2 linked regions of the Callithrix jacchus genome follow. The protein of the gene in region 1 interacts with the protein of each later gene in a biochemical or structural test. Links are inferred from orthologs where the notes say so. Each region holds a gene or a part of one and is shown on either strand. Other genes may lie near its edges. The genes, in order: FKBP8 and EGLN1.

What was found.
Region 2: the proteins of FKBP8 (region 1) and EGLN1 form a complex in vitro, tested with the Homo sapiens proteins (2 studies listed by BioGRID, with this or other methods). The link is inferred for Callithrix jacchus from reciprocal best matches to the Homo sapiens genes FKBP8 and EGLN1.

What each region holds. Positions count from the first base shown.
Region 1 is NC_133523.1:17,251,919-17,268,091, forward strand, and holds the start of FKBP8 (peptidyl-prolyl cis-trans isomerase FKBP8), read right to left. Parts: upstream 6,829-16,173; 5' UTR 6,647-6,828; coding exon 6,573-6,646; intron 6,321-6,572; exon of another isoform or gene 6,140-6,320; intron 5,244-6,139; coding exon 4,927-5,243; intron 84-4,926; exon of another isoform or gene 22-83; intron 1-21. UniProt on the Homo sapiens protein: Constitutively inactive PPiase, which becomes active when bound to calmodulin and calcium. Seems to act as a chaperone for BCL2, targets it to the mitochondria and modulates its phosphorylation state.
Region 2 is NC_133520.1:53,457,173-53,473,315, reverse strand, and holds the start of EGLN1 (egl nine homolog 1), read right to left. Parts: upstream 8,719-16,143; 5' UTR 8,308-8,718; coding exon 7,417-8,307; intron 1-7,416. UniProt on the Homo sapiens protein: Cellular oxygen sensor that catalyzes, under normoxic conditions, the post-translational formation of 4-hydroxyproline in hypoxia-inducible factor (HIF) alpha proteins.

The sequences.
Region 1 (16,173 bases):
TTTTTTTTTAAGAGACGGGGTTAGTGTTACAGCTCTTTTAGAATTTGTCTAGCAGGCTTTCCAGTTTTGGCCGCAAAGCCCCCAAAAGAATTTCCAAGAAAATACATAAATAAATAAAAAGAGATGGGGTTTCACTATGTTGACCAGGCTTGGTCTCGAACTCCTGATCTTGTGATCCACCCACCTTGGCCTCCCAACGTGCTGGGATTACAAGCGGGAGCCACTGTGCCCAGTTTTCTTTTTTTTTTTTGAGACGGAGTTTCACTGTTGTTATCCAGACTGGACAGCAATGGCACGATCTCGGCTCACTGCAACCTCCCTCTCCTGGGTTCAAGCAATTCTCCTGCCTCAGCCTCCTGAGTAGCTGGGACTACAGGTGCGCACCACCATGCCCAGCTAATTTCTGTATTTTTAGTAGAGACGGGGTTTCACCATGTTGACCAGGATGGTCTCGATCTCTTGACCTTGTGATCTACCTGCCTCGGCCTCCCAAAGTGCTGGGATTATAGGCATGAGCCACCTCGCCTGGCCTTTTTTTTTTTTAAAGAAAATTGAGGGCTGGGCACAGTGGCTCACACCTGTAATTCCAGCACTTTGGGAGGCCATGGCAGGCAGATCACCTGAGGTCAGGAGTTCAACACCACCGTGGTCAAGATGGTGAAACCTTGTCTCTACTAAAAATACAAAAAGTTGGGGACCACCAGAAGGAGGGACGAACTGGCCCAGGTAGGAAACGGAGCAGGTCAAAAATCCCGTGCTGATCAGTAGTGGGATCATGCCTGTGAATAGCCACTATGCTCCAGCCTGGGCAACAGAGGGAGACCCTGTCTCTAAAAAAATAAAATAATAAATAAATTTATAAATAAATTAGCTGGGCATGGTGGTGGGCACTTTTAATCCCAGCTAATCGGGAGGATGAGGCAGACAATTACTCGAACCTGGGAGGCAGAGGTTGCAGTCAGCTGAGATTGTGCCACTACACTCCAGCCTGGGTGACAGAGCGAGACTGTCTCAAAAAAAAAAAATAGCCAGGTGCAGTGGCTGACACCCGTAATCTTAGCACTTTGGGAGGCCGAGGTGGGTGGATCACCTGATGTCAGGAGTCCAAGACCAGCCTGGCCATCATGGTGAAACCCCATCTTAAAAAACAAACAAACAAAAAATAAAGTCAAACAGAGCTGAACAGCTTATAAACAAAGGCTGCCTCTCGTGCCCCCAGCAATCACAGGAATGACCATAGCCAATACCCTCACAAACACGCCCAGATAACCCCACAGTGACGATCCCCCCATCGTCCCAGAAAAGCACTGGAGTGACTGCTGCCAGCACCACCCCGTCAAAGCAGGAAATGGAGGTGCAGGGGGTAGATAACCCGGCCGGGGACACACAGCCCTGCCCTTCTTTGCAGTGCTACCAAGGTGTCCACAAAACACTATCTTAGCAAAGCAAGGGCTACGTGGGTCTGAGGTGCTCTGCCGTCCCTCCTGTTCCCACGTTTACCTGAGTTCTGTAATACACCACTGGCCTAGAGTATTTCTTTCTTTTTTTTTTTTTTTTGACACAGAGTTTCATTCTTGTTGCCCAGGCTGCAGTGCAATGGCACAATCTTGGTTCATTGCAATCTCCACCTCCTGGGTTCAAGCGATTTTCCTGCCTCAGCCTCCCAAGTAGCTGGGATTATAGGTGTGCACCACCATGCCTATATTTTATTGTATTTTTAGTAGAGACAGGGTTTTGCCATGTTGGCCAGGCTGGTCTTGAACTCCTGACCTCAGGGGATCCACCCACCTCCCAAAGTGCTAGGGTTATAGGCATGAGCTACCACTCATGGCCTGGCCTAGAGTATTTCATGAGTCTGAGTGAACTCTGGCCTAAAGGTTAGCGGCAGGGGTATATCATCCACTTATGTTCTGGAATATTCTAGAATATTCCAAATTTCTGTGCTACTCCCACCTTGTACAAGTCCCTTAACTCATCTGGAAACCACCAAGTTAGGGGATCCCAATGGACCTGTGTCTCGAGGTTTGCAGGCACTAATGGCTGCCTCTCAATCAGATGGCCTCTGGGAAAATCATGTCTCCTCTCAAGAGTTCAGTTTCCAGCTAGGCATAGTGGCTTACACCTGTAATCCCAGCCAAGGCGAATGGATCACTTGAGGTCAGGAGTTTGAGACCAGTCTGACCAACATGGTGAAATCGTGTATCTACTAAAGATACAAAAATTAGCCGGGCACGGAGGCGCATGCCTGTAGTCCCAGCTACTCGGGAGGCTGAGGCAGGAGAATTGCATGAACCCAGGAGGCCGAGGCTGCAGTGAGCCAAGATTGTGCCACTGCACTCCAGCCTAGGTGACAGAGCGAGACTCCACCCCCCCCAAAGAAAAAAAGAGTTCAGTTTCCTTGCCTGAGAAACAGAAGCCCCCATTCTGACCTCAAAAAACGGCTGGCACAATTATAAACACAGTGCCAACCTCATGCTCCCAGTGGGTGTGGGCAGCTCAGCTCTTACAGTATCAGGAGGAAAGAACAGCTTGCCAATCGCTAACATGGCCAGGGAGGCTGTGTGACCTCGGGCAAGCACCTTCGCCTCTCTGAGCCTACCCTTTGCCATCTGTAAAGTGGGGATATAGTAGAAATTACAACACGGTGGTTTTGTTTGTTTATTTGTTTTTCTGTGTGTGTGTGTGTGTGTGTGTTTTTTTTTTTAGAGACGGGGTTTCACCATGTTGGCCAGGCTGGTCTCGAACTCCTGACCTCAAGCAATCCACCTGCCTCGGCCTCCCAAAGTGCTGGGATTACAGGCATGAGACACCCATGCCCTGCCTGTTTGTTGCTTTTGTTTGCTTGCTGTCACCCAGGCTGAAGTGCAATGGCACAACCAGTTCATTGCAACCCCCGCCTCCTGAGTTCAAGCGATTCTCCTGCCTCAGCCTCCCAAGTAGCTGGGCTACAGGTGTCACCACCCACAGCTAAGTTTTACATTTTTAGCAGAGACGGGGTTTCACCATGTTGGCCTCCAATTCCCAACTTCAGGTGATCCGCTGCCTCAGCCTCCAAAAGAGCTGGGATTACAGGTGTGAGCCACGGTGCCCGGTCCACAGTGTTGTTGCAAGGATGAAATGAAATGATATATAGGCCTGGCACAAAAATCAGTGCTCAGGAAATATTACCTGGTGTTATTTTTATTTTTTTAGGAAAGTCTTGCTCTGTCAGCCAGGCTGGAGAGCAATGGCAGTCGTGCTATTTTCAGAAGTAATAAGATTTTTGGCCAGGCATGGTGGCTCACACCTGTAATCCCAGCACTTTGGGAGGCCAAAGGGGGTGGATCACTTCAGGTCAGGAGTTCAAAACCAACCTGGCCAACATGGTGAAACCCCATCTCTGCTAAAAATGCAGAAAAACAGTCCAGGCATAGTGGCTCTCGCCTATAATCCCACCTCGGAGGCTGAGGCGGGCAGATGACGAGGTCAAGAGATCAAGCCCATCCTGGCCAACATGGTGAAACTCCATCTCTACTAAAAATACAAAAATGAGCTGGGCATGGTGGTACACACCTGAAATCCCAGGCAGTTGGGAGGCTGAGGCAGAAGAATTGCTGGAACCTGGGAGGTGGAAGTTGTAGTGAGCCTAGATTGTGCCACTGCACTCCAGCCTGGACACAGAATAAGATTCCATCTCAAAAAAAAATAAAAATAAACAAAAAAAATGAGCCAGGTTCAGTGGTGGGAGCCAGTAATCCCAGCTACTTGAGAAGCTGAGGCAGGAGAATCACTTAAACCTGGAAGGCAGAGGTTACAGTGAGCTGACATCGTACCACAGCTTCCAGCCTGAGTGACAGCAAAACTCCATCTCAAAAAAAAAAAAGTAGTAGTACGATTTTTATCAGTAGCGGTAGTGATATTTAGTAATATTACTGTTTCATCAGTGTCAGTGTGATTGGATGGTATTGCTACGGTATTTTTTGTACAATTAATAGTGGTAATGACATCTTATTTGCATAGGCACCAGCGTTATTTGGTGTACTATACCACCGGCGAGACGACTTCCACAGAATACTAACATTTCCCTTGTTTTCAGTTGCTGTGATGGGGTATGCTAGGCAGAACATGTGTGAGTTCCCCTAGTTTTCTTCCTGTAGGATTTCTCTGAGCATTTACAATATTAGGAGTACTGTGAACCCACCAGAAGGCTGATCTACTTGACCCCAGGACACAATTTTGTTTTTGGAGGTGGGGTCTTGCTGTGTTGCACAGACTGGCAAGCACCCAGGACACATTTTATTTTTTTTTTTGAGATGGAGTTTCGCTCTTGTTGCCCAGGCTGGAGTGCAATGGCACGATCTCAGCTCACCGCTACATCCACCTCCCAGGTTCAAGCGATTCTTCTGCCTCAGCCTCCTAAGTAGTTGGGAGTACAGGCACGCACCACCGTGCCCAGCTCATTTTTTGTGTCTTTAGTAGAGACGGGGTTTCACCATGTTGACCAGGATAGTCTCGATCTCTTGACCTTGTGATCTACCTGCCTCGGCCTCCCAAAGTGCTGGGATTATAGGCGTGAGCCACCATACCTGGCCTAGGACACATTTTTCAGAGTACAAGCCTGTGTCACACAAACACCAAAAAAAGATGCAGTAATAGGGTTAGGAGCTGCCAGCGCCTGGTGTGCTGGCTGTGTGGCTCTGGGCAGGTGACTCAGCCTCTCTGAGCCACAGTTGGCAGATCTGGGAAACAGGGACACGGTATGTTGTGCACCTGTGTGAGTCAATGAATGAGGTACATCACCATGAAGCATCTCCAGTAGTTGCCTCTGGCTGGCGATCATGGTGGTGACCACATGACTTCCAACCCTCACAGCACAGATGAGGAAATGGGGCTCAGGGGACGAGAGGGCCAGGGCCAAGGTCACCCCAATCCACCCTTGCTCCTTACCCAGAATGTCCAGCCACTCTTCCGGGGCTGGGGCCGGGGCAGGCTCGGGCTCCATGGCAGCCAGGAACTCTCGGGCCAGGGCCCCAGGCTGCTCAGCTTCCTCCGCCAGGGGCTGTCCCATGTCCTCCAGCGGTGGCAGCTCACTCAGGTCATCTTCCTCCTCCTCTTCCTCCTCCTCTTCCTCCTCCCCCTCAGCATCCTCAACCCCATCCAGCACCTCAAAGTCCTCAAGCGGTGGGACCCCCGCAGGTGGCGGGGCAGAGGGCTCAGAGGGTTCAGCACAGGACGCCATGCTGCTGGGGGGACGGGAACTGGCCCTGGAAGTGGTGGGGGGGGGCAGAGATGTGGGTAAGACTCCTACACAGTCCCTCAAAGTCCCCACTGTACCCATTTCCCACACTGCCAATCACTTTCTGTGTAACTCAGGGACTCCCAGCCTCAGTTTCCTCACCTGTACAGTGGGTAGAACAACCACCCCAGCTTGTTGGGAGAAATTAACCCAGGCATCAAGCCTTTGGCATCAGGCTCAAACAGTGTTAGCCATTATTAGAGCTAATTATTATTTAACGTTTACAAATACTCCAGGAAGTAGGGAACATTCCCGTCAACATTTTACTGAACAGGAAACAGGCCACAGGGGCAAAGCCATTTACCCAAGGTCACAGAGAAAGCCAATGGCCAAGGGAAGATTTGAACCTGGGGCTTCAGGCCCTGTGGCTTTGCCTGATTATATGCTAAGTCAGGGGTGCTGGGATTTTTGTGGAGAGGACAGCTTTTGAGGACTTAGGGAAGCCATTTTTAGAGCCTCTGGGGCCACTGAGGGAATTGAACCTTTTACTAGGGCCTCCCACCTCCAGCCTCTTCTCCAAACAAGAGACATTTCCCAAGACCACCAACAGTAATCACCCAGAAACCCTGATTATTTTTCCTTTTACGCTCTCAATCTAAAACTATCCCCACAACCCCAACATCAGGGGCCCTGGTCCAAACCCTCCCCTAGGACGAATGCATCCTCCCCTTCACAGGCCTCGGTCCTATCCCCTCAAAGCAGCCTCCTTTCCAGGAGTGGTCGAGGTCCCACCTCGTTCTACAGCCTCTTCCTTGCCCCAGGCCTCCTGAACCAACAACCTAACCCTCTGGCCCTCAGGCCCCAAGCTCAGAAGAGTAGCACAGCCATCAAACCAGCCCACAGCATCCCCTCCTCACCCCTCACCTGCCTGCTCCTCCCGGGCGCGGGCCCCACTTTCTGAGACCCTCCCAGCCCCCACCCCCATAATCCCCCGCGCCCGCACAATTCGGCCTCCCCTCCCACCCCCCACCCCCGCCCCAACTACCACCGCCCCCAGCCCGGGTCAGCTCTCCCCACAGCCGCTCCGTCGCTCCGTAAACACTCTAGTGTCCCCAGACGCCCCCCCTTCTCGATCCCATAACACCCCACGCCCTCCTGACGCCCCACAGCCCGGCCGGGCCCTGCTTCAAGCGCCGACCCAGGCCCCCAACGCCCCACGCCTGTCTGACGCCACCAGTCTGGGGCACCCGACCCCCGCACGCCTCGGGCGCCCCTGGCCCTGCACGCCTGCGTAGGGAAACCCCCATGGGATTTCCCTTCGCCGCCATGACCCCTATAACGGACACCCCAGGCCTGCCTTGCCCCCTCGGGCACCCGCGACCCCCGTGTGCCCCCAGGCTCGCCGCCCCCGCGGCGCCTCGCCCCGCCCATCGGCCGCAGCCCGCTGCGCGCTGGCCCCCGGACCAGCCCAGGCCAGGGCAGCGCCCCAGCCGACAAGGCGCCCCCGGCGCCGCAGGACACTTGCCTCTGGCTCCGGGACCCCCGCCTGGGGTCCTGCGCCCCCCTCCCCGCCCCCAGCCGCGGCCGCCGCGCCTCGGGAACCAGGTTCAGCCGCTCGGCCCCGCCCCTGCCATGCCCATTGGCTGCCGTTGCCGCGACTGCCGCGCCCATTGGCTCGTGCAGACATCCGTCCCGGGCGTTGGCACCTCCCCCTTCCTGCTTGGCTCCGCGGGACGTTCTTAAAGGGACCCGAGCCTCCGGGCCGCTTTGGGCGGGGGCAGGAAACCCCGGGCTGGACCTCAGCACGAGTCAGAGTCGTGCAGCATGTGCGACTCCCCGCTCTCCTCTGAGCTTCATCCTGATCATCTGCGAAATGGGGATAAACACCCCCATCTATGCACTCTCACCTTGGGGGCTGTTGGGGGACAGCACTAAATGCTATTTCCTTAAAGAGTTCCGTTAGGGCAGCTCTGGGGTTACTGATGACCCATCCTGAAGCCCTAGTTACAGAAGAGGACCTGAGGTTCTGAGGGGGAGTGACGTGCCCGAGGGCATACAGAAACCTCCCTCCCATCCCCCACCCAGTTTAATGTCCAGAAGGTTGTGTGGTGCATACAGGAGGCGCTTAATTACGGCAGGGCAGGCGACTGAGCCCGCAGGGCCACTGGGAAGAGTTCATCCCCCACGCACTCTGCTGAAGGATGATAAGATGCCCACAGCCCAGGGAGAAGGCAGCACCTTTGATTAGCTAAGTTTTTGTAGATCTTGTTTTGAAACCGGGGCACTTCTCCCACCTTCACTCAGTTTTTTTTCCTTTCTAGCAGTTAGTCCCATCCAGAATTATCTTGTCGCTTTTTTTGCCTGTGTTTGGAGGGGGCACCTCCCACTCTACTCCATCTGACAGAGATTTTTGCTTGTTTTGTACCTAGCACCTCCCTGAACCATGCCTGGCATCTATAGCTCAATAAATGGATGGATGAATGGATGGGTGGGTGGATGGATGGATGGATGAATGAATGAGTCAGACACTGGCTTTGGGAGGTACCTATCATGGAGGTGGTAACCAGCTTTTTGGAGATAACCTCTCAGATTGGAGTTCCTAGGTGGCCTCCTACAGGAAGCCCTCCCAGACCTCTCCAAGGCAAGACCAGGGGCCTCATTTGGCTGTCTTGGCAAAATGAAGTCGATGAACCTCCACTTCATAACTAGTTTATTTATTTTTATTTATTTATTTTGAGACAGAGTCTCGCTGTCACCAGGCTGGAGTGCAGTGGTGCAATCTCAGCTCACTGCAACCTCTGCTTCCCGGGTTCAAGCAATTCTCCTGCCTCAGCCTCCCGAGTAGCTGGGACTACAGGTGCACACCACCACACACAGCTAGTTTTTGTATTTTTAGAGGCAGGGTTTCACCATGTTGGCCAGGATGGTCTCGCACTCCTGACCTCATGATCCATCCCCCTTGGCCTCCCAAACTAGTTTACCTGTATCACTGACTTTTTTTTTTCTTTTCTTTTCTTTTTTTTTTTTTTGACAGGGCCTTACTTTGAAACCCAGGCTGAAGTGCAGTGGCACAATCTCAGATCACTCAATCTCAGCTCAACCTCCTGGGCTCAAGCGATCCTCCTGCCTCAGCCTTCTGAGAAGCTGGGACAACAGGTGCACCATCATGTACAGCTAATATTTATATTTTTTGTAGAGATGGGGTTTCCCTATGTTTCCCAGACTGGTCTAAAACTCCTGAGCTCGAGCAGTCCTCTAAAGTGTTGGGATTACAGGTGTGAGCCACTGCCTTGCTGACCTCTGCCTTGCCGACCTCTGCCTTGCCCGCTACACTGGAAGAGCCCTAAAGCCTGGGAACGCTTTGCTCTGAGGCTTGCACAGTGCCTGGCACAAAAGGTAGCAGTGGAGTCTCAGGGAAGTCACTGAGGAAGGAAGGAAGGGAGGCTAGACGACCAGAAAAGGTGGTAACACAGCAGAGCTATGTAAGAAATCACCTAGGGCCAGGCGCGGTGGCTCACACCTGTAATCCCAGCACTTTGGGAGGCTGAGGCGGGTGGATCACGAGGTCAAGAGACCGAGACCATCCTGGTCAATGTGGTGAAACCCCGTCTCTACTAAAAATACAAAAAAATTAGCTGGGCATGGTGGCGCATGCCTGTAGTCCCAGCTACTCAGGAGGCTGAGGCAGGAGAATTGCTTGAACCCAGAAGGTGGAGGTTGCGGTGAGACGAGATCGCGCCATTGCACTCCAGCCTGGGTAACAAGAGCGAAACTCCATCTCAAAAAAAGAAAGAAAGAAATCACCTAGGGGGCTGGGCACAGTGGCCCACACCTGTAATCCCAGTACTCTGGGAGGCCAAAGTGGGTGGATCACCTGAGGTCAATTCAAGACGAGCCTGGCCAACGTGGCAAAACCTCATCTCTATTAAAAATGCAAAAATTAGCCTGGCGTGATGGTGTGTACCTGTAGTCCCAGCTACTCGGGAGGCTGAGGCAGGAAAATTACTTGAACCCAGCAGGTGGAGGTTGTGGTGAGCCAAGGTCACGCCACTGCTCTCCAGCCTGGGTGACAAAGTGAGAGCCTTCCTCTACAGAATATTTACTTACTTATTTGAAGATATGGTCTCCCTCTGGCTTTCACATAGAGTGCAGTGAAGCTCTCTGGGCTCACTGCAACCTCTGCCTTCCAGGTTCAAGCAATTCTCCTTCCTCAGCCTCCTGAGTAGCTGGGATTACAGGTGTACAACACCATGCCCAGCTAATTTTCTTTTGTATTTTTTGTAGAGACGGGGTTTTATCATGTTAGGCTGGTTTTGAACTCCTGACCTCGTGATCTGCCCGCCTCAGCCTCCCAAAGTGCTGGAATTACAGGCAGGAGCCACCATGCTCAGCCTCTACAGAAAATTTAAAAATGTAATTCCAGCTAAATGGGAGGCTGAGGTGTGAGGCATCCCTTACCCAGGAGGTCAAGGCCACAGTAAGTTATGATCCAGGATCTGAACTGCATCCTGAGCAACAAGGCAAGACACTGTTTCTAAAATAAGAATAGTAATTACCAGGCCAGGTGCGGTGGCTCAAGCCTGTAATCCCAGCACTTTGGGAGGCCGAGGCGTGTGGATCACGAGGTCAAGAGATCGATACCATCCTGGTCAACATGGTGAAACCCCGTCTCTACTAAAAATACAAAAAATTAGCTGGGCATGGTGGTGCATGCCTGTAGTCCCAGCTGCTTGGGAGGCGGAGGCAGGAGATTTGCCTGAACCCCGGAGGCGGAGGTTGTGGTGAGACGAGATCGCACCATTGCACTCCAGCCTGGGTAACAAGAGTGAAACTCCGTCTCAAAAAAAAAAAAAAAAAAAAGAAGAAGAATTACTATTATAAATAAACAATGAGCTACTAAAATAAACTACAAAATAATACCACCGACAATAATAATAATGGCTAGCACTCATTGAACAGGTATTTGCAGGCAAACATTTTACCTATATTTACTCTTCCCTTATAAAACAAATACTCGGCCAGGCGCAGGGGCTCGCACTTGTAATCCCAGCACTTTGGGAGGCCAAGTGGGCGGATCACCTGAGGTCAGGAGTTGGAGACCAGCCTGGCCAACATGGCCCATCTCTACTAAAAATACAAAGATCAGCCAGATGTGGTGGCGGGCGCCTGTAGTCCCAGCTACTTGGGAGGCTGAGGCGGAAGAATTGCCTGAACCCGGGAGGCGGAGGTTGCGGTGAGCCGAGATGGCACCACTGCACTCCAGCCTGGAGGACAAAGCAAGACTCAATCTCAAAAACAACAACAAATACTCTACTTGGAGGCCACATCATTGGCTGCATGAAGTGTTGCAGTTGTTGTGTCTTCTTGGTGAACTGAAACTTTCTTTTTTTTTTTTTTTTGAGACGGAGTTTTCGCTCTCGTTACCCAGGCTGGAGTGCAATGGCGCGATCTCGGCTCACCGCAACCTCCGCCTCCTGGGTTCAGGCAATTCTCCTGCCTCAGCCTCCTGAGTAGCTGGGATTACAGGCACGCACCACCGTGCCCAGCTAATTTTTTGTATTTTTAGTAGAGACGGGGTTTCACCATGTTGACCAGGATGGTCTCGATCTCTTGACCTCATGATCCACCCGCCTCGGCCTCCCAGAGTGCTGGGATTACAGGTGTGAGCACCGCGCCCAGCCCAAAACTTTCTTTTAAAGTTTTTGAGATGGAGTCTTGCTCACTATAGCCTCTGCCTCTTGGGTTCAAACGATTCTCCTGCCTCAGCCTTCTGAGTAGCTGGGACCACAGGCACCTACCACCACACCTGGCTAATTTTTGTATTTTTAGTAGAGAAGGGGAATTTCACCATGTTGGCCAGGCTGGTCTCGAACTACTGACCTCAGGTGATCCACCTGTCTTGGCCTCTCAAAGTGTGGGGATTGCAGGCGTGAGCCACCTCACCCAGCCGTGTTTTCTTTCTTTCTTTCTGACATGGGGTCTAGCTGTGTGGCCCAGGCTGGAGTGCAGTGGTACATGCAGTTGAGTGCGGTGACTCACTGCCGCCTCAACCACCCAAGCTCAAACAATCCTCCCAGGTCAGCCTCCCCAGTAGCTTCGACTACTGCTGTGTACCACCATACCCAGCTACTTTTTAAATTTTTATTGTTTGTAGAGATGGAGTCTTGCGATGTTGCTCAGGCTGTTCTTGAACTCCTGGGCTCAAGCTGTCCTCTCACCGTAGCCTCGCAAAGTGCTGGAATTACAGGCATGAGTCACCACTCCCGGCTCCATCTTTCTTTTTTAACTGGGGCGTTTGGTCTATTGGTATCTAACGTGATGACGGACATGCCTAGACATAAATCTGCCTTCTGAGGTGGTTTTTCTCTTTCTTACCTGCTCCATCCTCCTTTCTCCTTTATTGCCTTCGTCAGGATTGATAAGACTCTCTTTATCTTCATTTTATTTTATTTTATTTTTATTTTTTGAGGTGCAGTCTTGCTCTGTTGCCCAGGTCGGTTTCAGCTTACTGCAAACTCCGCCTCCCAGATTCAAGTGATTCCCCTGCCTCTGTCTCCTAAATAGCTGCGATTACAGTCAACCACCACCACACCTGGCTAATTTTTGTATTTTTCGTAGAGACAGGGTTTCACCATGTTGGCGAGCCTGGTCTCGAACTCCTGACCTCGTGATCTGCCCGCCTCAGCCTCCCAAAGTGCTGGGATTACAGATGTGAGTCACTGCACCCGGCCCCCACTGAGCTTCTAGTCCAGCCAGGGGAGCTGGATATTAACCAAACAATGACGCAGGTAGGTATTTAAATTGCAACTATGACCAGTACTATGTGCAAAATGAAGGCTGGAGTGGTGGCTCACACTTGTAATCCTCACACTGTGCGAGGCTGAGGCAGAAGAATCCCTTGAGGCTCAGAGTTTGAGACCAACCTGGGCAACACAGTGAAACTCCACCTCTACAAATAATAATAAAATATTAGTGGGCTGGGTGTGGTGGTTCACGCCTGTAATCCCAGCACTTTAGGAGGCCGAGGCGGAAGGATCACCTGAGGTCAGGAGTTCGAGACCAGCCTGACCAACATGGAGAAACCCCATCTCTACTAAAAAAAACCCCCAAAAATTAGCTGGGCGTAGCAGCACATGCCTCTAATTCCAGGAACTCAGGAGGCTGAGGCAGGAGGCTTGAACTGGGGAGGCGAGGTTGCAGTGAGCCAAGATTGCACCATTGCACTCTAGCCTGGGCAACAAGAGCGACACTCCATCTCAAAAAAAAAAAAAAAAAAAAGGCCAGGTACGGTTGCTCATGCCTGTAACCCTAGCACTTTGGGAGACAGAAGAGGGCGGATCATGAGGTCAGGAGTTTGAGACCAGCCTGGCCAATATAGTGAAACCCCGTCTCTACTAAAAATACAAAAATTAGGCTGGGCGAGGTGACTCACACCTATAATCCCAGCACTTTGGGAGGCCGGGACGGGTGGATCACGAGGTCAAGAGATCAAGACCATCCTGGTCAACAAGGTGAAACACCGTCTCTACTAAAAATACAAAAATTAGCTGGGCATGCCGGTGCGCACCTGTAGTCCCAGCTACTCGGGAGGCTGGGGCAGGAGAATTGCTTGAACCCAGGAGGCGGAGGTTGCGTTGAGCCAAGATCGCGCCATTGCACTCCAGCCTGGGTAACAAGAGCGAAACTCTGTCTCAAAACAAAAAACAAACAAAAAAACAAAAATTAGTTGGGCGTGGTGGTGCGCGCCTGTAGTCCCAGCTACCCAGGAGGCTCAGACAGGAGAATCGCTTGAACACAGGAAGCAGAGGTTGCAGTGAGCCAAGATTTCGCCACTGCACTCCAGCCTGGCGACAGAGTGAGACTCCATCTCAAAACGCACACACAAACAAACAAAAAATTAGCCGGGTATGGCGGCACATGCCTGTAGTCCCAGGTACTCAGGAGGCCAAGGCAGAAAAATCGCTTGAACCTGGAAGGCAGAGGTTACAATGAGCCAAGATCGTGCCGCTGCACTCCAGGCTGGGTGACAGAGTGAGAGTCTGTCTCAAAAAATAAAACAAAACAAAACAGAACCCAAAAAACAATTGTTGAACTGAATATTAAGAATTCTAGTCATCATTGACCTCTATCTTTTTCTTTTTTGGGGGGAAGGAGTTTTTTTCTCTTGTTACCCAGGCTGGAGTGCAATGGCGCGATCTCAGCTCACTGCAATCTCCGCCTCCTGGGTTCAGGCAATTCTCCTGCCTCCTAAGTAGCTGGGATTACAGGCACACGCCACCGTGCCCAGCTAATTTTTTGTATTTTTAGTAGAGATGGGGTTTCACCATGTTGACCAGGATGGTCTCAATCTCTTGACCTTGTGATTCACCTACCTCGGCCTCCCAAAGTTCTGGGATTATAGGCATGAGCCACCGCGCCCGGCCTCTTTTTCTTTTTTTTGAGACAGGGTGTCCCTCTATTACCCAGCCTGGAGTACAGTGGTATGATCCTGGCTTACTGCAGCCTTAACTTCCTGGTATAAGGCAATTCTTCCGCCTCAGCCTCCAAGCACCTGGGATTACAGATGTGCACCACCACACCCAGTTAATTTTTTTTTGTATTTTTTTTAGAAACAAAATCTCACTGTTTCCCAGGCTGGCCTTGAACTCTTGGGTTAAAGGAATCCTCCAGCCTCTACCTCCTGGTCATTGACTTTCCAGGCAGCAGAACCTGGGAGTGATATTATCAACAGTTTACTGCCGGCTTACTGTGTACCAAGCCTGGCTGTAAGGATTTTTGCCTGCATGAGTTCATATCGTTAAGCCACTTGCCCAAGGCCATCCAGCTAGGATGTGTCACAGCTGGAATGAAAACTCAGATACGTGCAATTCCAGGGCTCTGAAACAGTCTTTCATGTGCCCAAGAACTTGTGTGTTTATCTTCTAAGCTCTCAACAGTCTTCAGAGGTAGAGGCTGTGATTACACAGACTTGCAATTAACAGAGACCCAGAGAAGTTACACGTGTAATTCATAACATACACACTGTATAGAATCTCAATCACTAATAATTATTACTTGCAATTATTAATTTTATTTATTTATTTATTTATTGAGACGGAGTTTCACTCTTGTTACCCAGGCTGGAGTGCAATGGCGCGATCTCGGCTCACTGCAACCTTCACCTCCTGGGTTCAGGCAGTTCTCCTGCCTCAGCCTCCTGAGTAGGTGGGACACAGGTGCATGCCACCGTGCCCAGCTAATTTTTGTATTTTTAGTAGAGACAGGGTTTCACCATGTTGACCAGGATGGTCTCGATCTCTTGACCTTGTGATCCACCCGCCTCGGCCTCCCAAAGTGCTGGGATTATAGGCGTGAGCCACCGTGCCCAGCCTTAATTTTATTTTTTTAAACCTAATGACAAGTTTCTCAAAAGCAAACATTTATGAAACAATTATTATTCACCTCATTTTGTTCATACATTTAACTTAGATTATCTCTCTTAAAAAAGGCATCCTCAGCCAGGCTCAGCGGCTTATGCCTGTAATCCCAGCACTTTGGGAGGTCAAGGAGGGTGGATTGCAAGGTCAGGAGATTGAGACCTTCCTGGCCAACATGGTGAAACCCTGTCTCTACTAAAAATGCAAATATTAGCTGGGCATGGTGGTGGATGCCTGTAATCCCAGCTATTCCGAAGGCTGAGGCAGAAGAATTGCTTGAACCAGGGAGGCAGAGGATGCAGTGAACCGAGATTGCACATTTTGGGAGGCTGAGGCAGGTGGATCATTGGATCAGGAGATTGAGACTGTCCTGGCCAACATGGTGAAATCCCATCTCTACTAAAAATACAAAAATTAGCTGGGCGTGCTGGCACGTGCCTGTAGTCCCAGCCACTCGGGAGGCTGAGGCAGGAGAATCACTTGAACCAGGGAGGCAGAGGTTGCAGTGAGCCAAGATCGTGCTACTGAACTCCAGCAAGACTCTGTCTCAAGGAAAAAAAAAAAGGCATCCTCATCTCTTTGTGAATTCTTGGTTTTTATTTTTTATTTTTTTGAGACAGAGTGTTGCTCTGTTGCCTGGCTGGAGTGTAGAGGTGTAATCATGGCTCACTGCAGCCTCCACCTCTGGGACTCTGGTGATCGTCCCACCTCAGCCTCCGGAGTAGCTGGGACTACAGCATGTGCCACCATGCCCAGCTACTTTTTTTTTTTTTAAACAGAGTCTTGTTCTATTGCTTAGCTGGAATGCAATGACACGATCTCGGCTCACTGCAGCCTCTGCCTCCCGGGTTCAAGCAATTCTCCTGCCTCAGCCTCACGAGTAGTGGGGATAACAGGCATGTGCCACTGCACCTAGCTAATTTTTGTATTTTCAGTAGACACAGGGTTTCACCATGTTGGCCAGGCTGGTCTCGAACTCCTGACCTCAGGTGAGCCACCCACCTCCGTTTCCCAAAGTGCTAGGATTACAGGCGTGAGCCACCAAGACTGGCCACGTTTGTATTTCGTGTAGAGACAGACTTTTGCGGTGTTTCCCAGTCTGGTCTCAAACTGTCTGCCTTGGCCTCCCAAAGTGCTGGGATTACAGGCATGAACCATTGCACCCAGCTTCATGATTTGTATTTATTTGCAGAATGGGTCTCTCTGTCTCCGAGTCTGGAGTGCAGTGGCTTGATCACAGCTCACTGCGGCTCCTGGGTTTAAGTGATCCTCCCACCTCATCCTTCTGAGGAGCTGAGACTACAGGTTTGTGCCACCAAGCCTGGCTTATTGTTTAGCTGTGCCTGCTGATGGTGGCTCTAGAAGCAGTGACACCCCAGCAGCAATGAGCACATTCAGCACTGAGGTCTTGGTTTCTTTTTTTTTTTTTTTTTTGGAGTTCAAGCAATTCTGCTTCAGCCTCCCGAGTGGAATAGCTGGAAGTACAGGAGCATGCCGCCATGCCCTGGTAATTTTTTTTATTTTAGTGGAGATGTGGTTTCA
Region 2 (16,143 bases), on another chromosome or scaffold:
AAACCCTACACAAACTGATTTTATTCCCTATCCCACTACTTCAGTCATATATCCTTTACTCCTTCCACTATAACCACGGTGGTTTCCTTGCTATTTTCTTTTTTGTTTTTTGAGATAGAGTCTCACTCTGTTGTCCAAGTTGGAGTGTAGTGGCATGATCTTGGCTCACTGTAACCTCCACCTCCTGGCTTCGAACAATTCTCCTGCCTCAGCCTCCTGAGTAGCTGGGACTACAGGCACATGACACCATGCCTGGCTAATTTTTGTTTTAGTAGAGATAGGGTTTCAACATGTTGGCCAGGCTGGTTTCGAACTCCTGACCTCAAGTGATCCGCCTACCTCAACCTCCCAAAGTGCTCAGCTTGCACATCAAGCACATTTCAAGCTAGGGCCTCTGTATTTGCTATTTAATACCTTTCCTTGGAATGCTCCTCTTCCGCATATCCACATAACTCATTTCCTCACTTTATTCAAGTCTCTATTTAAATGTCATCTTATTTTATCAATCTTATCCAAAAGAGTACTCCCTAGTCACTCTAACCTTATTTTACTTATTCTCCATCTTAGTATTTACCACCTAACATAGCATGTATTACTTATACATTTTGTTTACTGACTGTCCCTCCCCACCTCTCACTTCCTCCAAGTAGAAGTTAAGGCACACGAGAAGGCAGGCTTTTTGTTGTTATTCAAGAGCCCCTAGTTCCTAGAACAGTGCCTGTATGTGGAGGGTACTCAACATTTGTTGAATGAAAAATTAGTGAAAATAGTATCAAAACAGGACTCAGAGACTACAACAATGGATAAGGAGTACTCCTATTTTGCTTTGGTAAAGAAATAGGACCTGGGACACTGAATAAGAAAAATAAGAATTCCAAACTCATGAAAACTTTATGGTGCTCTCAACAAGCAAAGACAGGCTACAGATACTGTCCAAGCTCTTCATAAATAAAACTAGTAAATTATCTGAATGCCATCATGTAGTCACAGACAGTGTTCCAAGTGTGGAAACGAGGGCATAGTGGAAAAGAAGGGAGAATGTAAGCACAACAGTAAAATCTTAAGTAACAGAAACTGTCCAAGAATGTGCTAGAATGAAAGGGAGACTGAAATCGTTGGTGTCGCTTTAAAGGCCTAAAGTGAAAAATTAAACAACTAAGCTGATACCATAAAGGCGCAGGCTTCAGAAAACATGGAAGAAGAACAAAGATAGATTTCAAGCCTGATGAGGAAAAAAAGGGAAAGGAAAACAGAGTAAACTGTAAATCAGAAACAGAGTGGGAAGACAGCCCCTACTAAAGAAACAAGAGAGGGAAGGCCTACTTCAGGGCAAATGGCTTTAAATATCAGAGGAAAGACAGATGGATAAAGAATATCGAAGGAAGTTAAATAGGTATTATGTAAAGGAGAAAAACTTAAACTAGAATGTCAGATAAGCCAATGTGTAGAATGACAGAAGCAAAACAGAGAAGAAAGTCTTGAATGTTCAAGCATATTCTCAAAGATGGCAGAGGCTCAGTGCGATAGTTCATACCTGTAATCCCAGCACTTTGCTTTGTTTGTTTGTTTGATTTTGAGACAGTTTCTTGCTGTTACCCAGGCTGGATGAAGTGCAGTGGTGTAATCAGAGCTCACTGCAACCTCCACCTACTAGGGTCAAGTGATTCTCCCTCCTCAGTCCCTCAAGAAGCTGCAACTATAGCCATGTGCTACCATACCTGGTTAACCATACCTGGTTAATTTTTGAATTTTTTTTAGAGATGGGTTTCACCATGTTGCTCCCTGGTCTGGAACTCCTGAGCTCAAGCAATCTTCCCACCTTGTCTTCCCAAAGTGCTAGGATTATAGGCGTGAGCCAGAACTTTGGGAGACCATGGCAGGAGGATTATTTGAGGCCAATAGTTCTAAAGCAAAAAATTTAAGAAATTATACTGGTGTGGTGGCACATGCCTGCAGTCCCAGCTGAAGCAGGACTACTTGAGCCCAGGGGCTTGAGGCTGCAGTGAGCCATGACTGCACCTCTGCACTCCAGCCTGGTGCAAGTGAGAACCTGTCAAAAAAAAGAAAAAAAGGCATAAAATATACCAAAATTAGCTAAGTAGAAATATGTCATTGTTACATGAAATACAGCATAAAGTTACAGATATGAATGAACTGAATCAAATGTCTGTTGATTTTGTCAGCAGCTCTATGACTTAGAACAAGTTACTTCACCTCTCTGGGACTTATTTTTTCCCTTAAAAAAATGTTATTTCTTCTCTTTAAAAAAAAAAAAAAATAGGTGTGAATGCAGGAAAAGTGGTTAGGTTAAAAAAAAAAAAAAAAAAAAAGGATGATCATTCTAAGCCCTTTTTTCTCCAGTTTATGGGAGTGGGATGAGACAGGGAAAGCACAGAGCTCTTGAAAGAAAGAATCAGAAAGACAAGAAATTTCTAAAATGGAAGGAGTAATAGTTAAGAACAGTTCTGCAAAGCACTTTACCATCTAAAAAGTACTTTACATGAAACATCATATGCTTACCTCACAACAATCCCGAGAAGCTAAAAAGACAGGTATCACTTCACACCATTTTATAAACAGAGGAACTAAGGACTCAGAGATTAAGAAGCTGGATAAGGACAGAAACCATAGCAAACTCAGGATCCAACCCAGATTTAATGGCAGAACCAAATCCACTTTCTTTCTTAATAATGTTTTTTTAAACAATGATGAGGTCTCGGATTTCTGGACTCAAGCGATCTTCCCACCTTAGCCTCCCAGAGTGTTGGGAATTATAGAAGTGAGTTACCACATGCAGCCCAGAATACATTATCTTTCAAAGTTAAGATGATCTCTCTTATCTTCTCCTTCTCCACATAATTAAGGCATTGTGGGTATTTTTGTGGATTATTAGATAGTAGATAAGAGTTGCAAACATGCCATAAAAAAATTTTTTTTTTTGAGACAGGGTTTCATTCTATCACCTGGGCTCAGGCAATCCAGCCACTTCATCCAGCCTTCCGTGTACCTGGGACCATGGGCATACACGCCAAATTTTTTTTTTTTTTTTAGAAACAAGGTCTCACCATTTGCCCACACTGGTCTTGAACTCCTGGGCTCAAGCAATCCTCCTGCCTCAGCCCCTCAAAATGATGGGATTTATAGGTGTGAGCCACTGAGCCCAGCCTGAAAAAAATCTTTAAATGTAAAATATAATTGCTTTACAACTAAAGGAGTTAGTTTACATGTAAACTACACATCAACTCACTATACAAAATGTTTTCGCACATAGTTGATCACAACCTATTAAGACTACCCTCTCAGTCCACATGTCCCTTATAGCTGGCAGAATTACTGCAGTTGTAGTATTTTCAGTCTTTCTGCATACAGAATAACTTACTTTGTACTTAAATTCTGACATAGCTATAAAAATCACTAAACAAGTAACTTCCATTTGTGTATCCTGGATCCCAAGCATATAAAGAGAATGGCAGAAATAGATTAAGGTTTATTTATTTAGGTTTAAATAACATAAGTTCATTTTCTCACAGTTCTAGAGGCTGAAAGTCTGAGATCAGGATGCCTGTATGGTCTGGTACTGGTGAGGGCTCTCTTCCTAGGTCAGTTTTGTTTTTAACATCTAAGAGGATTGTCACCACACCTTTGTTAGTGATAATAAAGCAGCAGCATTTTCCTCATCCTATTCTTTGCTCTAAAAGCCATAATCAGCCAGAGCTAACTAATTAACTACAGTAACAGTGAAAAATCTTAGTAATATAATCTGCTGCTTATTGGTCCCAACCTATTTTATTACTCCTTTTCTTTACATATGTTTTAATGGAACAGATGAAGTTTTGGTTTAAATTCCAAAAATGTTATGTATACAATTTTAGCACTTCTATTTTAATGGGAAAATGTTTTCCTTCAGAGTACCTAGGATACTCCAACGGAAAAGTTCAACACTTTCCCATGATCCTCAGTCCTCTGAATTTCTCTTCATCCTATACCCCCCAAGTCAAGGCACACTGCTCATCACAAACCAGCAGACCATGGTTTCTTTCTACTGGGTATCACTGAGTCTTCTTAATGAAAACAAGCATGAGCAAGACACAGGATCAAAGGGCAGGGTAAGGGCAAAAAGGGGAAAATCCCAAAAAGACCAGAGAAAGTGGAAACAGGAGCTTGGTTACATCAGTGACTACAATTACATTTGTTTTTCTCCTGTATTACTTCATTTTTCCCCTGTGGTTCCTTTTTTTAAAGTAGTTGCATAAACAGTGGCCAGATAAGGATGTCTGAAGTAGAAATTCAGGGGAAAACAAAGCCTACACTGAATGGGCCACAGCCAATCATGTATCATCTGATTTCCAGGCCCTGACATAAAGAACATGCAATATAGATGTAAATAAAAAAGAACATCAGATTCTTAGTCAGAAAATCTGAATTTAAGGCCTAATATGCTGCAGAATTTCCAACGTGTGAACTAACTTTCCTGAGTCCCACTTTTCTAATCTATAAAAAGAGATACAACCACCTACCTACTGCTTTGAAAGCTGACATGAGAAAAATACTACACATCTGCTGCACAGAACTTTTAAAATCACTATCATGTTACGAAGAATAATAAAATTCTAAACTGAAGTCTCCCTCTGCAATCACATACAAAAACCATATTCTGACATCTCTTAACACTTATACCAACAGGTGCATAATTCAAGTGGATATATACAAAAGTGGATTTTTCAGCCACTATCTGAAATAAACATTGCACAGTCACCTAATAAAAAGTTTTAGAGCCCAACCATAGAGTATGATTATTCACATATAAAGCTAGTACTATTCACCCCCTTTCAACAAAAAATATATATCAAATTGCAGTTCCAACAGTGTGTAAGCTACATCTCATTTAATGTTCTACCTATAACTAGTGTAGTTAAAAAAAAAAAAAAAAAGCTTAAGTTCGATAGCTGAATGACTTAAGCCTGAACACCTGCTAGGTTACTATAAGTGGTAGACCTCTGCCAAGTCTGAGCTGAAAATCACTCAAATGTAAATTACGAATAACACTACCCACTGCATAAAGATTATTGTGGCCACAAGAGGTGGCTCAAGTCTGTAACTACAGCACTTTGGGAGGTCCAGGCAGGAGGATCACCTGAGCCCAGGAGTTCAAGATCAAATGATCAGCAAGACCCTGACCCTACAAAAAAAATGTTTTTCATTTGGTCTAGCACAGCACAGTCAAGCTGTGCCTACAGTCCCAGCTACTTCGAAGCTGAGGTGGTAGGATCGCTGGAGCCCAGGAAGTGGAAGCTGCAGTGGGCCATGCTTATAGCCTTGTACTCCAGCCTGGGCAACAAAGGAAGCCCCTGCTTCAAAAAAAAAAAAAAAAAATTACTCTGATTGTACCTGCATTGACCCTAATCTGATGCCTAACACACTGCGGTTGCTCAATATACAGTGGGTGGTATTTTGATTGCCTTCTCATTTCCACCAAGCAAACAACCTTGTTTTTTCAGGAATACTTACATGTTCAAACACAATTACCAAAACCTCTTTCAGCCAAGAAGTACAATTAAAGGAATTCCTGAATATCATTTATAGATCCTGAAGTTGTGTCTCTAAAATTAATATAAGCATAAGATCAAATCCAAAGAGTTTAAAGGCCATCCCTTCTTCATCCAGTCCCTTATTACCTGTTACTAGGTACAGTTAGGTGACTTAAAACCCCAAATACTAGAACTCTTGAGGAAGGCAGTAGCTATTTTCTAATAGCATCCCTACCAGAAGCAACTGCTCTCAGAGCCAGGCTGTCTGCTGTCCCTTATCTAAGAATGACAGGTGAAAGGACTTGGAAAGCTAAATTAACTAAGGAAAGCAGATCAAGAAAGATTTGGGACATCATCTTCAAGAATCCAATTTAAACTTATGTCCCAACTATATACTTTGGTCAGTCTTCACAGCCCTGTTCCCTCAAACTAATTTCTTTCCTGCTCTGAGCTCAGGACTTATGTTCAGATGTGTTCCATGACAACGTTCATTTTTAAAAGTATCAATGAAAAGCTAGTAAAAGACCAAGGCTGAGATTTCATCAGATCCCCCTTTTCCTTCCAGTTTAATATGATTCAACTGTTCGTAAGACTACATGAAATTAAGATGTGTGCCTTCACCCAGCAATGAAGTGGCAATACGTAAATGAGACTCCACATTGTATTTTTCCCCACAAAATTTTCATGTTTATAATTTTTCTCATTGCCTATGTTCAGCCTTCCGAGCAGCCTGAGAATCACATGTAATGACTGTCAAAACAGATGGTCTCACACACACTCCAAAAAAACCACTGGGAAGAGTCAGCATGTGTGTACAAACATGTAAGTGTGATGCTCTCCCAAGTCCATCTCTCAAAACTCACAAAATCAGACAGAGACTGATGGTGGAGGAGGGAGGCCTGGGAGTAGCTGGATATAAAGAAAAGATCAAGATCTGAGAAGCAAAATGAATAAGACCTGCAAGAGAGTATTAAGGAAGAAAGAGTGCACCGTGAGGGAGAAAAAGAGAAAATAGACTAGGTAGGAAGTGAAGAAATCTGTGGAGAAAAAAACGCAACAGTAAAGAGAAAACAAAAAGATCTCACCAAATTGGGAGGATAAAACAAGTCCTCCTGCTCCAATTTCGTGTTGTTTTTTCCAGGAAGCTACAAAACAGTTCTTTTTCAACAGAAGGATAACATTAACAAAGCAAATAAAGGAAACCAATGCTAAAAATGTAGCCTACCTACACAGAGAGATCCGAAAACGGAAATACTTCTTTTCCCTTTTTGTAATGGGTTTCAAAACAGTAGGAACAGGGAGAGGGTAGGAGCTATAAGAGGGGGAGGGGAGTAGCCACGCTCTTCCTGAATATGGAGAGTCTTTCGACTAAACGCTTAAATTTACCTTTTTGTGGTCAGCCGGCAAATTCTTAACTGAACACAGCGTTTGACTCTCAATCAAAATGTGACGAGTGATTCAGACAGCACAGGAAATTTAAGTGCTTATGCAAACACAAGACAGATGCAGCATCAGGACTTGCTTTGGGTGGTACTCTAACACCCCCTCACTGGGTGGCTAAAACGCCACTAAGGAATGAATTGTGACTAACAGTGGAATGGAAGAAAAGAAGAAAGTAGCAAAGTTAAAGCGCCTACGTTTAGCCAGAAAACTATGCAATTAGCCGGAGAAGTCTGTGGACTGGCAGTAAGTGGAAAACAGCGGACACAAAGCGGCTAACCAGATCAAACAGTTACCCCGAATTCTGTCCGTCTTCCTTACGGGGTGCTATACACAAAGTCCTTTCTATACAGAGGAAGGCTGCTCCTCAGCCTAGGCAGTTACCGTCACGAGAGGGGCTGCCCGCCGAGAAGGGCATGTCCAGCGCAAACCCGCAGCCCACACTTACTTTCGTCCGGCCATTGATTTTGTAGCTGCCCAGCTTCCCGTTACAGTGGCGGATCAGGTCGTCCATGCTGCTCATGAGCAGCCCAATGGTTTCGCAGCCGGGCTCCTTGCCCTCGATCCAGGTGATCTTATCGCCTCGGATGTCCTTGGACGAATCACTCTTCTGGCTGACTAGCTGCCCGTCCGTGAACTTCCCGGTGTCGTGCAGGGCGCGCACCTCGTCGCCGATCTGCTGTCCGGTCTCCTTGCCGAGGAAGTCGTCCACCACACAGATGCCGTGCTTGTTCATGCAGGGCACGATGTACTCGAGCGCCAGTTTCAGCGCCGGCAGGGGCTTCGTCTGCCCGTTGGGCCGCAGGCCGCCGCTGTGGCTCAGCGCATCCCCGGGCGTGTTGCTCGGGGGGTACAGGTTCGCCTTCTCCTGGAACAGCGACGAGCGGGCCGGCTGCTCCTCCTTCCCGGGCTCGGCCTCCGCTGCCACCGCCGAGGCCTGGCCGCCGGGGGCCGCGCGAGACGGGGACGCGGCCGCCGCGGGGTCGGCCGCGGGCTTGGCCTTTGCCTTTGCCTTGGCCGCGTCCCCGGAGGCGCTGTCCCGGCGCGCCGCTGCCTTCCTGGCCTCCCGGGCCCCGGACCTGGGCGGCGGCGCTGCAGCCGGCGGCGCGGGGCCGGAGTGCTGGTGCGGGCCCACTCCGTGGCCGAGGGCGCCCTCGCTGCCCTGGCACACGAGCTTGTGCTTCTTCCAGTCCTGACGCTGGTGCTCCTTGCAGCAGTAGAAGGAGCTGCGGCAGCGGCTGCAGCGCAGCAGGTTCTCCATCTTCCCGCATAGCTCGCAGTACTGCCGGTCTCGCTCGCTCGGGCTCGGCCCGCCGGGTCCGCCGCTGTCATTGGCCATGGCGGCGGCGGCGGCAACGGCGGCGGCTGCGCCCGAGCAGGAGGGGTGGCGGCCGGACGGCCTCGCCCGAGGCTGGGGAGCGGGGAGAGAAATCGGGGCCGTTACTGCGCCATGCACCCGCTACCCTCGCCTCAGGGAGGCCGGCACCCCGCGCCCTCGGCCCGGCCGCTTCCGAGTCCTAGGCTCCGGCGCAGAGCCGGTGGCCGCCTTAGCGCCTCATCGCCGCCGTGGGCTGAGAAAACGTGGCCTGTGCGGCGAACGGCAACCTGGGCTCGGGCGCGCGGGCCTGGGGAGCGTAAGACCGGCCCCCTCGGCCGCCGTCGCCGCCTCAGCGTCCCGGGCGGCCCGGCCCAGGCTGTGGAGGAGCGCAGGGCATGCGGGCGCCACTCGCTCTGCGCGCTCTGCACGTACACCACGGCCCCGCGGCGACCCGGGCGGGCGGCGCGCGAGGGCGGAGGGGGCGGAGGGAGGGCCGGGGGGAGGGCCGAGGGGCGGGGGCCGCGCTCACACTTGGGCGCTGGCGCGGCGCCTGGGCCGCCTGCGCTCCTCCGCACTTGGCGGGGCCGGACCTCGGCCTCAGAGCCGGGTCGCCCGCCCTCCGTCCACCCGGGGCGGGGCCGGGACGCAGAGGCCGGTGAGCTGCCTCAGCCCGCAGCGGCCTGCGCGGGGACGCAGAGGGGCCGGCCCGCGAGCGGCGGAAAGGCGTGGGGCCGCGCGGGCAGCGCCTACACCTGCTAGGGGAGGGCGCCGGCCGCGAGCGGGTGGCGGAGCGGCGGCGGCGGCGGCGTAATCATGGCTGCTCTTCCTGCAGGCGGGCGCGAGTTGTGCGAGGCGCGCTCGGGTTAGGGTTACAAGGTGGCTACTGTGATCCTCATTTTGTAGAGGAGGAAACGGAAATTCAGAGAAGTAAAGTAACTTGCCCAAGGTCACGCAGAACTGACTGGGACTGAATCCAGCAATCAGGCGCTCAGATTCCAAGGCTGTTTTTTCCATTGCTCCATCCAGCCTCTATTTCAAGAAGCCGTGAAATGGTTAAGAACAAAAATAAGTATTACTGTGATGTTAATCCAATCTCTTGTGCCCCGTTTCAACCTAATTTAAAGGTTATGAAATTTGAGGGTTAAAATCAAAAACATTTTTAAAACCTTTGAAATCCCGCCGAGTTCGAACCCCCATGATTGGGCTACCAAGTCAAATGAGTGCTTATTCCAATATCCAATTTAAACTGATGGAATTATCCCTGAAAAGTTAATTTTGGTAGTAAGTGAGCAGTACTACTACATTAACGACTCTCACATTTATTTTTAATAGAATCTGTGCTACGCTGATGGATACAATTCTTTGTTTTATAGAGCATAAAAACCTTTCCATAAATAAGCCAAGGATGTTTCTGCTGTTATTTGTCTTAAGAATAAAAAGGCCTGTGACTTAGAGTTTAACAGTCTTTATCGAACACTTACTGTGGAAAATTCGGTGCTAGGCTTGTGTATCACTTGAATATACTGTAACTTCAGTCCTTGAGATATAGCCTTCCAAGCTTAAAGAAGCTGCAATATGTATTTCAAAAGCAGGATGTATGGAATTACTATAAACCACATTGTAGAATTTAAAAAAAATAAAGCTTGAATCCAAAAATATAAAACCTCTTCATCAAATATACATAATTTAAAACTGTTATAAAAGTCTGCTACATACGTAAATGGCATTCTGGGGATCCAGTCAGGTGGAAGAGGATAATAATTCAATCAGCTTGTCATTTGGGAAACTGAGGTAAATATACTCACATCTTCAAATTCCAAACCGAACTAAAAATCCACATTTCTGTAAAGAATTAAGACCTGGATCTGTCTTATGTGTATCCTACTTTCCCAGAGCTTTATTAAATACAGTAAAATGTCATTGTTGCAGACATTACTGATTAGGCTGTTCAACAGATGAATTGGGAGTGTACCATGTGCTACACTATCCTTGACAAACAAATGAATTAGTCATACTACACTCAGAGACACATAGTCCAATGCAGGAGGCAGATATGTAAAGAAGGACAATCCAGAGTTCGGAGTTTCCTAAAAGAGGGATGAATAGGATGGAATGGTAACACAGAAAAAGGAATTGGCTTTAAAACCCAGAAGCAAGCTATCTGTGAAACTGCTTTGCTATGTGTGTGTTCAACTCAGAGAGTTGAACCTATGTTTTGATTCAGCAGTTTAGAAACACATTTCATGTTAGAATCTAGAAAGAATCTAGCTCTGCTGTTTGCACTAATAAAATCTAAGCAAATTAATTCAGAAATTCTTAAAATGTAAAGCAGCTATCTCATGGCTTACGAAAAACTTTTAAAACATTTTTCATACACAAAAATTATGTAAAGTATAACAGATAAAAGTAGAGTCTAATACCTCTTGGGCCTTCTTTTACTACAGTAATTATAAGTGATTATTAATTATTCACAAGAGCAAGAACTTTACTAGGAACACTCATTCCATGAAACTTGATTCTTACAACAATTTCTTTAAAATTCACTATTTCAATCTATGGTGTGTCCAAAAATTATTTACATCTCTATATGCTCTTCTCATGTATTTTAACTGAATTTTACTTAAAAGAATAGATGTCTATATCAAAACCTTTATAAGCTTTCTTGTTCCAATTAAGTATACAAAATCACAAATTAAACATGTATATCCTAAATATACTTAACCCATCAAGTATAACACTTGCAATATTTTAAAAATAGAATGGACAAATATAAAATACTGATTTCAAATAGTTCCAAAGATCCTTGATTTCAGGATTTCCACCTATTCAGGCTTAATAATCTGAACGAATTCCAAATTAGTGAGGTTTCACCACACCATTTGCTGGTGAACAATCTTGTCGCCAACCAGATTCTGGAACTCCGGTAGCATTGTACCAGTGGCCACTTACTCAGCTCTTATAGACAGACTTCAGAATGTCATGGAAGAATATATTTAATTTATTTATTTACTTATTTAAATGTTACCAGAAGGCAGCACAGAGGAATTTATTTTATAAACATACGCGATGCTTAATATTGTGTGCCCAATCTGTGTTCTAAGCATTTTACAAGTATTAAATAATGTAATCATCATGTAATGCTATGAAGTAGATACTATTATTATGCCAATTTTACAGAAGGTGAAACAAATAGAGAGTGAGACAATGAATGTCCCTTCCAGTCGTTAAGATTATATGTTTAGGAGCACTAGGTGGGTTAACTAATACTCTGGGGCGAGCAAAGCCTTGTGTCTCTCAAAGCTAGAAATTATTACAAATGTTTTTCCTGCCCCCAATCTAACCAAGAGCAACTGTTACAGAAACTGAAGAATGAATTAAAGTAAGAGTGCTTTCATCTCCATATCAAACCAACTTAGACAAAGCTAATTGACCACCTATTTGGCTTCCCTTTGCTCTTCTGGCAGTATTTACTTAAGCCACTGTGAACTGACAAGAACTAAAAGAGGCAAAGCTGACCTAAGAGCCAAAGCTGAGGTTAGCTACAAGAACAGAGTTGAAGGAGGAAATGGATTTAGAAACGACTGTGTTGACTTTTGAGGAAAGCCCAGTGACCAGAATCTACCTTCCAAGGAGTAGCCCTATTTCTCCTTAATGTTTTTAAAAACACAACAGAGTATCTTTTCTGCTCAAGAAATCAAACATCTGATTGTTAACTAATGACCTCCTGTTTCTTCCATCTGTGACAATCTAGGTTACAGAGAAAAGTAAAATCACAAGTATAGCATAGGCATTCCACCAAGATAAACAGGAAAACGATCTTTGAGTTCTGGGAAAAGCAACTCAAAAATGTGAGCCATTTTCTAACTATGGTATTAGGACACACACAATTAGGTGTCATTGGAAAACAGCACCTGCTCATCTCTGTACTGGGGGTTCTGCCAGATGCACACGTGAGCAATGTGCTTCTCCGAGTACATGGAGACAGCTGTACTTTCCACCAAGGTTATTCCCTTATGAAAATGAAACAATTAAATAGATTTTGTATATATTTGGGGAGATTTATCAATCATCAAACTTTATCAGTTTACGACTTAAAAATTACCACCAATCCTGTTAAAATTGATCATCTCAGAAATACAACAAATATTTATAATCATCTCTCATTATAGCAAATTTTTTTATTAAAACCTGGGATACTATATAATGTGTTGATCTAATTTTTTTTTTCTAACAAACATTACCCTAATGTTGAACCAACTTTTAGGATAGTCACAATCAGTAACTACACCAACCCAGGTTGAAGAAAGCTAAATAATTTTTTCCCTGTAACATTTTCTTGTAGGAAAATTTCAACATACACAAAAATAGAGATAATAGCGTAATCAACCTCAGCCCTAATAAGTTCATCAGTTATTAGCTTCAACAATTATCAACATATGTTGATAGACAATTCTTCCTTACCCTCTCCGTACTATGTCCCCCACTTTTTTGCTAAAGTATTATAAAGCATATCCCAACTTCAATACGCACATCTGATAAGAACTTTCAAAAATCATATCCACCATGCCATTATTACACAAAATTAAGAAAAATCGCAACACTATACATCATCCACAAATGTTAGTTTTTTTTATTATCTCAAATATTCTGTTTACAGTTGCTTTATCCAATTCAAGATCTAAACAAGGTTCATACATTGAACTTAGTTGTTTCCTCTACCTCCGCCGCCTCACCTAATATCATCACAAATTGTCATGTTTCTTAAGGCCCTTCTACTCAATTTTACCAGCGTCTCACCCTTCATATCATAGATTTACTGTAGAAACTAGGCCATTTGTACTACCGAATGTCCCACATTCTAGAATTAGCTGATTACTTCCTTGTGAAACTACTCTTATTTCAGCAAATAGGTAGTCAAATCTAGAATTTTATTTTTTATTTATTTATTTTCTGTTTTTGAGATGGAGTCTCACTCTGTCGCCCAGGATAGAGTACAGTGGCGCAATCTTGGCTCACTGCAACCTCCACCTCCCAGGTTTAAGGGATTCTCCTGCCTCAGGCTCCCAAGTAGCTTGGACTACAGGCACCCACCACCTGGCTAATTTTTTGTATTTTTAGTAGAGACTGGGTTTTACCGTGTTAGCCAGGATGGTCTCGAACTCCTGACCTCATGATCCAGCAGCCTCAGCCTCCCAAAGTGCTGGGATTATAGGCATGGGCCACCACACCCAGCAGATCTAGGATTTTTATTAGATTGAGGTTCTAAATTTTAGGTGAGCATAATTCATGGTAGTTGCTGTATATTTCCTGTTACATCACATCATGAGGTACATATGTCTGATAGTTTTGTTTTATGATTAAATATTGCTCATGGGTTCAGGTGGTGTCAGCCCAATTCCTACATTATGTTTTTCATCCACCATCACCTGATTATTTTAGCATCCATTAATTGTGACTCAATCCAGTATTTCATTAGCGGTTGCAAAATAATGAATTTCTTTCTTTCTTTTTTTTTTTTTTTTTTTTTTTTTTTTTTTTTTTTTTTTTTTTGAGAAAGAGTTTTGCTCTTGGTGCCCAGGCTGGAGTGCAGTGGCATGATCTCAGCTCACCACAACCTCCGCCTCCTGGGTTCAAGCGATTCTCCTGCCTCAGCCTCCCAAGTAGCTGGGATTACAGGCATGCTCCACCTTGCCTGGCTAATATTGTATTTTTAGTGGAGATGGGGTTTCTCCATGTTGGTCAAGCTGGTCTCGAACTCCCGACCTCAGGTGATCCACCTGCCTCAACCTCCCAAAGTGCTGGGATTACAGGCATGAGCCACCTCACCCAGTGCAAAATAATGAATTTCTAATTCTAACATTCCTCCTCAATTTATTAGCTGGAATTCTACCATAACTTTTTTCATTAACTCTGTGGTTATCCTGAAATACAGTTTGTAGATGAAAGATAGGGTCCACATCTGTTTCTTTTTATTTATCAATTTTCAAAATAATGAGTTAGTGCCCTGGCAACTTCTAATGAGTCTCTCAAAAAAATTATCATGAATATATGTATTTTTATATATTTGAAGTGCATTAATTATTCTTTTTGATGCTCAAATTGTCCCACCTTTGGCCAGTGAGAAATAGAATTGGTTCCTATGTATTGTGGACGTGGTCACATTAATCTTTGATAGTTTTCTTGCTTGCTGGCACAAAATGGCCCAAACTTATCTTGTACATTTCCTGCCCTTGACATGGAATCAGTCATTCCTCCAAAGAGCTTGGTTCCTTTAAGTAGGAAATGGCAGAAACCATAATCAAGTGTACTCATTGCCACTAGGTTGTCATTACTTCTGAATCCTTCTAATAGAGCTGGGAAATCGACAATTTTTCAAGAGAAAAAATCTTGAATTCATACGGATATTTCCAATTCAAATGTAAGATTACAGGGTTTTAATTTCTTCGATTTTATATTTGTTGATTCTGTTTCTTAGGTTGAGCAGCCTTTATCCAAAATGCTTTGGACCAGATATGTTTCAGATATTTTCAGATTTTGGAATATTTGTACATACATAAAGTGATATCTTGGGAATGTGACCCAAATCTAAACACAAAATTCATTTATGTTTTATATACAATGTAAAGTCCTTTGAACTGACTACACCATGGACTACAACATAGTTAAGCCATGGTGACCCCTGTGACCTGCATGTACACCTTCAGATGACTTCCCAGAGCCAGAAAGTCTGAGGCAACAGGAAAACTGCAAAAGAAGGATAGCTAGCTCCTGCAGTTCCTGATTAAGCAAGGTTGCGACATTCTGCCATCGTTTCTGCCTCAACTGATAAGCCAACCTTGTGACACTGGACCCCGTGACACCACCACCCCTACCCCCTGGGCTTGCAAAAACTACCCTGAACTGTAACTTTCCACTGCCTACCCCAAACCTATAAAACCGGTTGCTATCCCACCACCCTCTGCTGATTATCTCTTTGGACTCAGCCTGCTTGCACCCGAGTGAATAAACAGACTTGTTGCTTACACAAAGCCTATTTACATGGTCTCTTCATTAGAGCATGCTTAACATATACCTTATACACAAAACCTGAAGGTAATTTTATACAATATTTTCAATAATTTTGCACATGAAACTGTTTTGCCTGTGTTTTGACTACAACACATCATATGAGGTTAGATGTAGAATATGCTACTTGAGGTGTCACATTGGCCTAAAAAAGGCCAGATTTTTGGCCAGGTGTGGTGGCTCACACCTGTAATCCCAGCACTTTGGGAGGCCGAGGCAGGCAGATCACCTGAGGTCAGGAGTTCAAGACCAGCCTGACCAACATGGTGAAACCCTGTCTCCTCTAAAAATACAAAAATTAGCTGGGCATGGTCACATGCACCTGTAATCCTAGCTAATCAGGAGGCTGAGGCAGGAGGATCGCTTGGACCCAGGAGGCGGAGGTTGCGGTGAGCTGAGATCGTACCATACACTCCAGCCTGGACGACAAGAGTAAAACTCCATCTCAAAGAAAAAAAAGTTCCAGATTTTGGAGCATTTCATGTTTTGAATTTCCAGATTACAGATGCTCAACTTGTACTAAAAATTTTGTTTCCTAATGGCTTTTACATAATTACTAAGATTAATTACTGAATGTAGTTTAATTACTGAATGTAGTTTAATATTTTATCACTTTTTTTGTCTACATAAATATCCTATTAAGAATGGATGGTCAAAATACGGTGTTTTAGAGTCATCTAATTTTCTCTGTGTCCATTTTCACACTGCTATAAAGAAACTACCCACTTTGGGAGGCTGAGGAGGGCAGGTCACCTGAGGTCAGGAGTTGGAGACCATCCTGGCCAACATGGT